2 linked regions of the Macaca mulatta genome follow. The protein of the gene in region 2 purifies or fractionates together with the protein of the main gene of each other region. This does not show direct contact. Links are inferred from orthologs where the notes say so. Each region holds a gene or a part of one and is shown on either strand. Other genes may lie near its edges.

Region 1 (5,017 bases), on a different chromosome or scaffold from region 2:
CCGGTAATGGGATTGCTGGGTCAAAGGGTATTTCTAGTTCTAGATCCTTGAGGAATTGCCACACTGTTTTCCACAATAGTTGAACTAGTTTACAGTTCCACCAACAGTGTAAAAGTGTTCCTCTTTCTCCACATCCTCTCCAGCACCTGTTGTTTCCTGACTTTTTAATGATTGCCATCCTAACTGGTGTCTGTTTTTTGGGATGGAGTTTCACTCTTGTTGCCCAGCCTGGAGTGCAATGGCGCGATCTTGACTCACTGTAACTTCCGCCTCCTGGGTTCAAGCAATTCTCCTGCCTCAGTCTCCTGAGTAGCTGGGATTACAGGCATGCGCCACCATGGCTGGCTAATTTTGTATTTTTAGAAGAGATGGGGTTTCTCCACGTTGGTGAGGCTGGTCTTGAACTCCTGACCTCAGCCGATCTGCCCACCTCAGCCCCGCAAAGTGCTGGGATTACAGGCGTGAGCCACCGTGCCCAGCCTTTTTTTTTTTTTTTTTTTTTTTCAAGGGACAGGGTCTTGCTCTGTCACTCTGGCTGGAGTGCAATGGTGCAACCACAGGTCATTGTAGCCTCAAACTCCTGAGCTCAGTGATCCTTCCACCTCAGTCTCCTAAGTAGGTGGGACTACAGGAATGCGTTGCCATGCCCAGCTCATTTTTGTTTTTTTTTTTTTTTTTAAGACAGAGTCTTGCTCTGTCACCAGGCTGGAGTGTAGTGGCACAATCTTGGCTCACTGCAACCTCCGCCTCCTGGGTTCAAGTGATCTCCTGCCTCAGTCTCCCAGGTAGCTGGGACTACAGGTATGTGCCACCACACCCACCTAATGTTTGTGTTTTTAGTAGAGACGGGGTTTCACCATACTGGCCAGGATGCTCTTAATCTCTTGACCTTATGATCCACCTGCCTCGGCCTCCCAAAGTACTGGGATTACAGGTGTGAGTCACCATGCCCAGCCTCATTTTAAAAATTTTTTGTAGAGAGGGGCTCTCATCATGTTGCCCAGGCTGGTCTCCAACTCCTGGCCTTAAATGATCCTCCTGTCTCAGCCTCCCAAAGAGATGGGATAATAGGCATGAGCTATGACATCTGAAAGCAATGTTTTTAATGAATCTGAATTCGCTAATGAAGGGGAAAATTTACTTTTTTTATCCCCACAATGACTCCCAAGTCCTACTCGCAAACAAATAAATCGTAGAAAAAAAGTTTAATTGCTGGTTATTGTTTGAATCTTGAAATACAATTCCTCACTGATGACACTGGTATAAAATGGTGGTTATTAATCCATGCTAGCACAACCAAAACTAACGTTAACATTATCGGTAAAAATGAGTCATTTTTGAATCTCGATTAAAATGTGAACACAAAAACAAATCTGTGTTAACACTGGAACTGCCTTCTCACTCTACATATAATTAAACTTCCAGCTTTAACCATTTCATGTTGAAATCTAAAGCATCCCCATGAGTTAAATGTCCCTGACAAACCATGTAGGTGGACAAACAAGATTGGTGGTCTTTAAATGCCAGTGACAGAAAAGGCTGCAGTTTAGTACTTAAACCTGCAGTTAGTGGTCAACTTTCTATCCAAGCAGAGTAAACTAAGGATAGCTATGAAACATCAAAAGAAAATTAGAGGCCAGGACAAAGAGGCAGTGTCAGCCAACCCAATGCAAGCTGGTATGCACCTCTGTATTTCAGACAAGGGCAGGCAATCCAAAATTACAGATTGCTTTTTTTTAACTTGACCAAACAGTGTATTTTTCCTCTGAAAATCTTGTCAAAGGTTGCAATTCATTGCACCTAGTAAAATACAAAGTCCATTCTCATAAAAATATTGTATTTTTCAGAAGAAATATAATACATTGAAAATCACTGATTGCTTTTTCTTCGTCTTTTTTTCCGTGAATGTGTAGGTGTTTGAGTCTCTTGTATTTCTTCTTTTACACAGGATATGGGCTGTTTGAAAACTATTTCATTATCTTTATCATCATCATTCAGTTCAGCCACTTCAGATTTTCTCCTCTCCAAAAATGTTGGTGTACAAACTGGTGTGGGGCCCTGGATTCAACAAGTAAAGATTGTAATACAGAAATGTAGACCAAGATTATGACTTAACCTAAAAATATCACCTCGTCTCTATTTTTACAAGTTGTGCCCCATTATTTTAGGTCTGTTTCCGTCTTTTGGTGATACTATTGCAAAGAATAAAGAACTCAGATGCTTATCAACTTAGTACAGAAATTCACAACAAAAATAGCATGTTCCATTACAAGGTTTTAGGCAGAAAATTGCTAAATCAACAATAAAGATCTACCAAATGTCACAATATTTAATTTGAAATCTTAAAATGAGAGTAGCAGAAACTACTTTTCCTCCTTCAAATTATTTCTATAATATCTGGTGCCCAGAATATTGAAAACCATTTTACCTGGCTATCCACAGTCTTCTCAGGAACGTTGGGAGTACCTAAAACTTTTTTCTTCTTCTTACGTAAAACCTTAAAATAAAATTTTAAAGGTCATCAATTTGAATATGGATCAGCTATGGTAGTCTTCAATGTTTTCCTACTTATCTTTCTCTAATATCTTGCATGTAAAATGATAAAAAACATTTTACCTGGCCTTTCGTGGACGTCTGACGATTAGTTTTTGAAACACCTTCCGTTTTCTGCAAAATCTTTAATAAAGAAGTTATAAATTGACAATCTCGTATCTTTTCTTTCTAAACTTAGCATTAGATCCTCATATATATTATCAGTAAATCCTCCCTAAATGACAGAACATTTCAATTTAAAAATCAAAACTCATAAATATAGTGAATTATCTCAAGTAAAGGGCAAAACTAGGAAATACCCAGTAGAGGAACTGACAGAGCTGCAGAGGTTGAAGGGAAGGCCAACACCTGGAGCTCACTGATTCACAGAATCCTGAATTCAGGAGGGCGGAAGCAAGAAGAACGTGCAAAGCCAGGCCACCCCCATCTCCACTAAGTCACAAACAGGGTACAGGAAAAGCAGTGCTTGCATGCCTCTTACCAAGTTTCACTGTCTCAGTTCCCAAATGGTTCACAAGAGTACCAGGGCCTAAGGCCTTGGCGAAATGTTCTAATACTATTAAAGACAATATTTGGAATTTGGGCAAAAAGTTAACCACCGAGAATTGAGCCAAAGGAGAATAACACAGTCACCTAGTTTCTGGATAAGGTTAAAAACCTAGTAGATTGGCTGGCCCAGTGGCTCACACCTATAATCCCAGCATTTTGGGAGGCTGAGGTGGGTGGATCATGAGGTCAGGAGTTCGAGACCAGCGTGGCTAACATGGTGAAACTCCATCTTTACTAAAAAAATACAAAAAATTAGCTGGGTGTGGTGGTGTGTGCCTATAGTCCCAGCTACTCAGGGGGCTGAGGCAGGAGAATCACTTGAAACCGGGAGGCAGAGGTTGCAGTGAGCCAAGATAGCGCCACTGCACTCCAGCCTGGGCAACAGACGGAGACTGTCTCAAAAAAAAAAAAGAAAAGAATAAGACCCTTACCTATACTAGCCATACCATAATGAGCTTCATTCTCGATCTATAATAAAAGACACAGCTCTCCTTACTGTGACAGATGGACGAAAGGTTCAGTGTTTTGGTATTTACTTATAGCATACAGTAAACCAAAGACTTAATTCTGGCAGTGTCACCTCTGAATGACAATCTTTTTCTTTTTTTAGAGATATGGTCTTGCACTATTGCTGAGGCTGGAGTGCAATGATACAATCACAGCTCACTGCAAACTTTAAATCCTAGGCTCAGGAGATCCTCTTGCCTCAGCCTCCTGAGTAGCAAGGACTACAGGCACACACTACCTCAGTTGGCTAATAAATGGCAATCTAAGAGTATTATAGTTTTCAGTTAAATAGTGGGTTTACTTCAGTAACTTAAAAAACAGATTATGTAAGGTAAACAAATCAGATTATCTCCTTAAAAGAAGCTTCCTCTTCTAGCCAGGCATGGTGGCTCACTCCTATAATCCTAGCACTTTAGGAGGCCAAGGCGGGTGGATCACCCGAGGTCGGGAGCTCGAGACCAGCCTGGCCAACATGGTGAAATCCCGTCTCTACTAAAAATGCAAAAAGTAGCTGGGCGTGGGGGTGGGCGCCTGTAATCCCAGCCACTTGGGAGGCTGAGACAGGTGAATCACTTGAACCTGGGAGGAGTTTGCGGTGAGCCGAGATTGTGCCACTGCACTCCAGCCTGGGCAACAGAGACTCTGTCTCAAACAACAACAAAAAACAACTTTCCTCTTCTGAATAATGGAAATAACAGAATCTGGTCTCACAATGTTTTAGGAAGAACTTACAATGGAATGTTTCAAAAGTTTAGCCAGGCCAGGCATGGTGGCTCACACCTGTAATCCCAGCACTTCTGGAGGCGAGGTGGACGGATCACCTGAGGTCAAGAGTTCGAGATCTGACTGACCAACATGGTGAAATCCCATTTCTACTAAAAATACAAAAAATTAGCCAGGTGTGGTGGTGCGCACCTGTAATCTCAGCTACTCCTGAGGGTGATGCAGGAGAATCGATTGAACCTGGGAGGTGGAGGTTGCAGTGAGCTGAGATTGTGCCACTGTACTCCAGCCTGGGCAATAGAGCAAGACTCTGTCTCAAAAAAAAAAAAAAAGAAAAAAAAGTTTAGTCAAAAAACTGGCTGGGCACAGTGGCTCACGCCTATAATCCCAACCCTTTGGGAGGCTGAGGTGGGTGGATCACCTGAGGTCAGGAGTTCGAGACCAGCCTGACCAACATGGAGAAACCCTGTCTCTACTCAAAATGCAAAAATTAGCCAGGCATGGTGGTGTGCACCTGTAATCCCAGCTACTTGGGAGGCTAGAGGCAGGAGAATTGCTTGAACCCAGGATGTGGAGGTTGCAGTGAGCCAAGATTGTGATAAGCACTAGGCTAGGTCCTTTACAAGGTACAAAGTCGCCCCCTCCCCTCCCCACAACAAACCACAAAAAAGATTTCACGAATATT
Region 2 (4,965 bases):
TATTGAGTGGAAGCAGCCTAATGTGAGTGCTCACTTGGTCTCAATGAACTGAAGAATGCTGCTCCCCTCTAAGGGAGACCCTCTCTTCCTCTGTGCTTGTAACTCAAGTAACCTGGCAGCATCCATTATAAGTTCTTTTCTGATGTTCTAGTTCTTCAAGAATAATGTATCACAGTCATCTATCTACCTAACTTCATCCTTTTAGGTTTATGTTTCTTTGTGACTTTAGACTCACCAAGGCACCCTGTGGTGAAGACAGCAACCACAGCCTATCATTCAGCAACTTAAAAAGACATGCAACACCCCCAACCTCCAAACACCCAAACAGATTCTTATGTCTCCTAAGCCTGCACCCCCAATGCCACCTCACCTGGTGACCCCGGATGGTGCGCAAGGAGAACATGCCAGTCTCCCCCTCGTCTGCAATGGAAATCCCAGGCAGATCCATCTTCAGCTCCACACGTTCCCGCTGCTTTCTCTGCTCACGCAGCAGCTTCTTTTTCTTCCTGAGGGGGTGGATTCAGGGAGTAAAACTGGCCCAGCTCCAAAGAGTTTCTATCCATGCCTTGCATTTTCTTCTCCCATCTTCACAGAGGATCCCTGCATTGGTGGACTCCAAGCTCCACCCCAGCTCCTCTCACCTCTTCAATTCCGCCACCTCCTGGGCCTTCATTTCTGCCAGGGTCTGGTTCAGTTGTTCCTCCTCCTCCTCCTCCTTAGAGGGCTGCTTTGTGATCCCAGCTGTTGAGTCCTCCTCATCACCTTCATCTTCCTCTCCAGAGCTGAGGCTGGCAAAACAGTCCCAGGAGTTGGGTTATTTTCCTGGGCTCTTTCCCTGGACACCCCGTCCACACCTGCCTGGCTGCGTTCCCTCCTCACCTGATGTCCAGTGCCTTTGCTTGTTCTTTCAGCTTCTTGGCCACATATCGCCGAAGTTTTGTTCTCCAGTTTAGTAGCAACCTGCCCCAGAGATACTATTACTGATCTTGCCATCTCCCGCTTTGTCCCTGCCCCCTTGTTTTAGGCTCACTATCCACCTTTTCAGGTTTCAGCTACATAAACCAAAAGGCTCAGGCCCCTACCCCAAACCTTTAGCACAGCAATATCCTCTTCCCAGAGATCTAACATCATGGCCTTTCCCGCCTCCAGGGCTCCTGGCCCCCATGCCCACCCCGCTGCATACCTGAGCTCCTTGCGCCCCAACACTCTGATGTCCTGACAGCACACCCGTATGTCTTCAGTGGTAGCTGGATGCTGTGCCAACTCTTCATCATCTACCATGATCTGTTTGGGAGGAGGGAAAGGTGTCGGGAGATTCTCAGGCCATGTTTCCGGGGCTACCTCATGTCCCTCAAGGCTGGAGACTCACTTCGCTGGCCTTAGACAGGAAGTCGACAGGGTTGGCAGCTCGGAGGAAGTCAGTGACTGAGGTACGGTGATAAAGAGTGAGGTCGCCCTCAGCATAGCCTTCAGCCTTAGGGAGAAAAAGAGAGAAGATTGGGCAGTCCCTTCTGGGTATCTGTAGGACCCACCAGGCCCAACCTCTCCAGAGTTCCAGGACCCAAGGGTGGCCCCATTCCCCAAAACACACCTTTGGCTTCTTCTTAGTCACCAATTCAGTAACAGTCTTAGCCTGAACTTCAACCTCCTTGAAGGCAAATTTGGGGTCGAAGAATTTACTGTCAACCTTGTCAGGGGCCAGGAATCCTAAAAATGACAAGATATATTAAAAAGTGTGCTTTGGGAGTTGGGAGGCTGGATCAAGAGAAAGGAAATGATGCCCACCTTGGCAGACTACAAAGATCTCTGCAGATTCGTGGCGAGAGGCTTGGGGCTTGGTGGCCTGGACATGGCGGAACAGCTGCTGAAAGATCCATAGCAAAGGCTGATAGTCACGAGAACGGAAAACCTTTGTGATGAAGCAGCCACCCCGGGCCAAAAAGTCACAAGCCAAACGCAGAGCCATCAGTGTCAAATGGGCTGTAGGATAGAGACAATTAGTTGAGGCACTGCAGCCCAGGAGGGCATGCACCCAACTCCACCATTGCCTGATCTCCAAACACCACACTCCCTGTACCTTGTGAGTAAGCATCATGGACCCAGCTAGCCCCCACATTGGGGGCCCCATCATTGAGCACAACATCAACCTTCCAGGTCTTCAGCTCCTTCCTCAGGGCCTAAAAAGAAAAGGAACTATGGAAACACAAACACAGGAATGGCCCTGGTTCAACCATTTGTCCATCCCGTTATTTGTTGAGTGCCCATTATGGGCCAAATGCTCTACCAGGCACAGGAGATAACAATAGTAAACAAAAACAGTATGTCTCTACCTTCATGGAGCTTACAGTCTGACAGTGAGTTCACAGGAAAAAACTTCACTAAAGATCTCTGCCCTTCTCCCAATTCCAAACACCTTTATCCCTGACTCTAAATAAAGGTTGGAGTGGGCACTACGAATACCATGGGTCTTGTACAAATGTCAGGCAAGAATGTGCTCAAAGCATGGTAAATAGAAAAAAATTGCCTTTAGAGGATTTCAGGGATGTGGATGTTTCCGTATAAAGGGGGAAGGAAGAGAAAGACTCCTATTACCTGCCTACAACGTTCTGTTGTGATGTCCTCCTGGAGAGTCACCACATTGGGGAGAGGCTTGATTGGAACCAGGTCCACTCCTGGAATAAATCAGGTCAGAGTATTCTAAAGGGTTGCCTCAAGCAGGGAGGAGAGAAATACAGGACAAAGTACTTTATACACCGACCCCTTAAAACATCAAGGAGAGCTGTCCGTTACTCACCCACAATAAGGCTGGATACAGGCATAAACTTGGCAGCTACCTGCAGCCTATAAAAGGAATAGGAATTTAAAAACCTACAGCCATCCTTGTCCCCCTCTTGGCAACTGACCTCTCATCCCTGGTGTTACGTGCACTGGCCAGAACATATCATAGGCACGTATTCCAAGCCCTTTCTCTGCAGTCAAGAAAGGAAACGGCCTCCAAGGGGACCGGGATTCGGGATTCCTCTCCCGCAATGAAACTGGAAACCATCGCAGCTCAGAACACAGAAAGCGGCCACCAGGAGCAACCTGTGGCAAGTGTTACGAACCATCCCCCTGGCGCAGCACACAGGTCCAGCAAGGCTCGGGCTTTCTGCAGGAACTGAAAGCGGCGATTGAGCTGGATCAGCTTGAAAGCAGATCGGGAACGGTAACCTGGACAAAACAACCAAGTGCGCAGAGGGCTTCACCATCACCAGCAGGATTTCTCCAGCCTCGCAACCCACTACCCCTTCTGCAGGAGAGGTACACAATGGTCAGAAAGAGCAGGCGAACCGGGCAGAGATCGCTCGCTCGCTCGCACGCAGACTGAGCGAATCTGGACTCACCCGTCTCCTTCGCCAAGTGATAAAACTTGTCCCGTCGGCTCTTGCCAACTTTGCCCTTCTTGCCCATGGTGGAATGGGGGAATATCGCTCAATCTGGGGAGAAAGTAGAAGTTGAGGACGTCTCTTTCCGGATCACCAGATTCCTCTTTCAGTTTCCCACTTCCCGCAGCAATTCCACTCCGCTCCCCTCTCCGCACACTCTACCTAGACCCACGGCCGCTTTCTCCACACTCGGAACCGCACATGTATGCAGCAAACGTACTTCCGCTTCCGCTTGCGTCCCTGGCTCGAGGTTTTCCGCCATTTTGAGTGTGGCCATAGATTGTTCTCGGTACTCTGTCCTCGGATTTTGTAAGTTGAAAGTTGAGACTAGGAAGGCATATTACAAGAACTACAAACATAGTTTCAATGAGGCAACATTGAGGAGTTCTGCTCCTTCCTCTTCCCCCTCCAAAGCCCCTGAACTCTCGTAGCCGCCCCTCCCATCATGGTCCCCTTAGTTAGTGTGGTCTGGCCGCGCACCCCGCCCATTGACCCGGAACTCTTCTCTGCCTGGTCTCAGGTCACAAGCCTCCGCTTCCGCGCCTGCGCGCAAAGGGGACTCGGATGCCGGCGGTCTCTGCTGAAGAGAGAAGATGGCGCTTGACGGGCCAGAGCAGGTATGGCGGCTGCAGTGGCGGCCCGGCAGGTTACGGGGCTGGGTGCGGAGCGAGCGTAATCTAAGTGGAGAGCGGGCCGGGGCAGGAGGGTTGGGTGGGTCGGAGGTGGCTGGAGTAGTCCAGGCTGGACGCTGCCTGCGACTGGATCTGCTGTGTCAGCGCCGCCCTCGGTGAGTCAGGGCAAGGCTGGGAGAGGAATACGCGGTAGAAGCGGAGTGAGTGAGGGGAGCGATGGGCGCGGGAACGGCCGGCCCACGGGTCGCAGGAGACGGGACGCCAGTCCTTCGGCTCCGTTCCGCTTGCTCCGTCGGCAGTAACGACACCTCGGGCTTGTAGAGCGCTTCACGCAGTGCAAAGCGCCCCCGTGTATATCATATCGCCTCTCGGTCCTCCTAAAAGTCGTACAAGGTAGGCGGCGTTCCCATTTTTTTATTTTAGTCGTGGGAAAATGGAGGGTTCCCAGGGAGGGAGGAATTAGAACCCAGATGCTGAGCCTCCGAAGTCCAAACTTTTTTTACTACGCAAAGCTACCTGGTGTCAAACCTTATTCAAAGTGCCCTGCAAGTGGCTTTATCCCCTCGGATGTTTAACCTGTCGTTTAAGACTCACTCTGTGTCTTCAGATGGAACTGGAGGAGGGGAAGGCAGGCAGCGGACTCCGCCAATATTATCTGTCCAAGATTGAAGAACTCCAGGTGAGGACGGACTTCAGAGAGAGCTAGGAAGCGGGATGATGGGGGATGGAAACGGACTTCCACAAATCCATCTAATTCCACTGGGAGTGCAGTGGAAGAAGCTGCTGCTTCTCCTTTCTTGTTTGTTTCTTAGCTAGTAGGGTGTGTGTATCAGAAGTAAGCAATCTCTTGTTTTCCTCCAGTCCCACCCCTTTGAGGGTCATAGTGTTCACAGTTTGTTAAACATTTT

The links. The genes of interacting proteins can lie anywhere in the genome.
Region 1: the proteins of FTSJ3 (region 2) and NIFK fractionate together in Homo sapiens (co-fractionation; 3 studies listed by BioGRID, with this or other methods). This does not show direct contact. The link is inferred for Macaca mulatta from reciprocal best matches to the Homo sapiens genes FTSJ3 and NIFK.

What each region holds. Positions count from the first base shown.
Region 1 is NC_133417.1:15,734,948-15,739,964, reverse strand, and holds the end of NIFK (MKI67 FHA domain-interacting nucleolar phosphoprotein), read right to left. Parts: intron 2,677-5,017; coding exon 2,617-2,676; intron 2,498-2,616; coding exon 2,429-2,497; intron 2,059-2,428; coding exon 1,870-2,058; 3' UTR 1,191-1,869; downstream 1-1,190.
Region 2 is NC_133421.1:73,620,012-73,624,976, forward strand, and holds the start of FTSJ3 (pre-rRNA 2'-O-ribose RNA methyltransferase FTSJ3), read right to left. Parts: upstream 3,635-4,965; 5' UTR 3,451-3,634; coding exon of another isoform or gene 3,384-3,450; intron 3,211-3,383; coding exon of another isoform or gene 3,105-3,210; 5' UTR 3,075-3,104; intron 2,842-3,074; coding exon of another isoform or gene 2,795-2,841; intron 2,698-2,794; 5' UTR 2,673-2,697; coding exon of another isoform or gene 2,593-2,672; intron 2,178-2,592; coding exon of another isoform or gene 2,078-2,177; intron 1,981-2,077; coding exon of another isoform or gene 1,967-1,980; coding exon 1,786-1,966; intron 1,708-1,785; coding exon 1,592-1,707; intron 1,475-1,591; coding exon 1,370-1,474; intron 1,285-1,369; coding exon 1,184-1,284; intron 961-1,183; coding exon 880-960; intron 789-879; coding exon 642-788; intron 507-641; coding exon 371-506; intron 1-370. Other genes in the region: PSMC5 (26S proteasome regulatory subunit 8), read left to right, coding at 3,990-4,042, 4,646-4,736.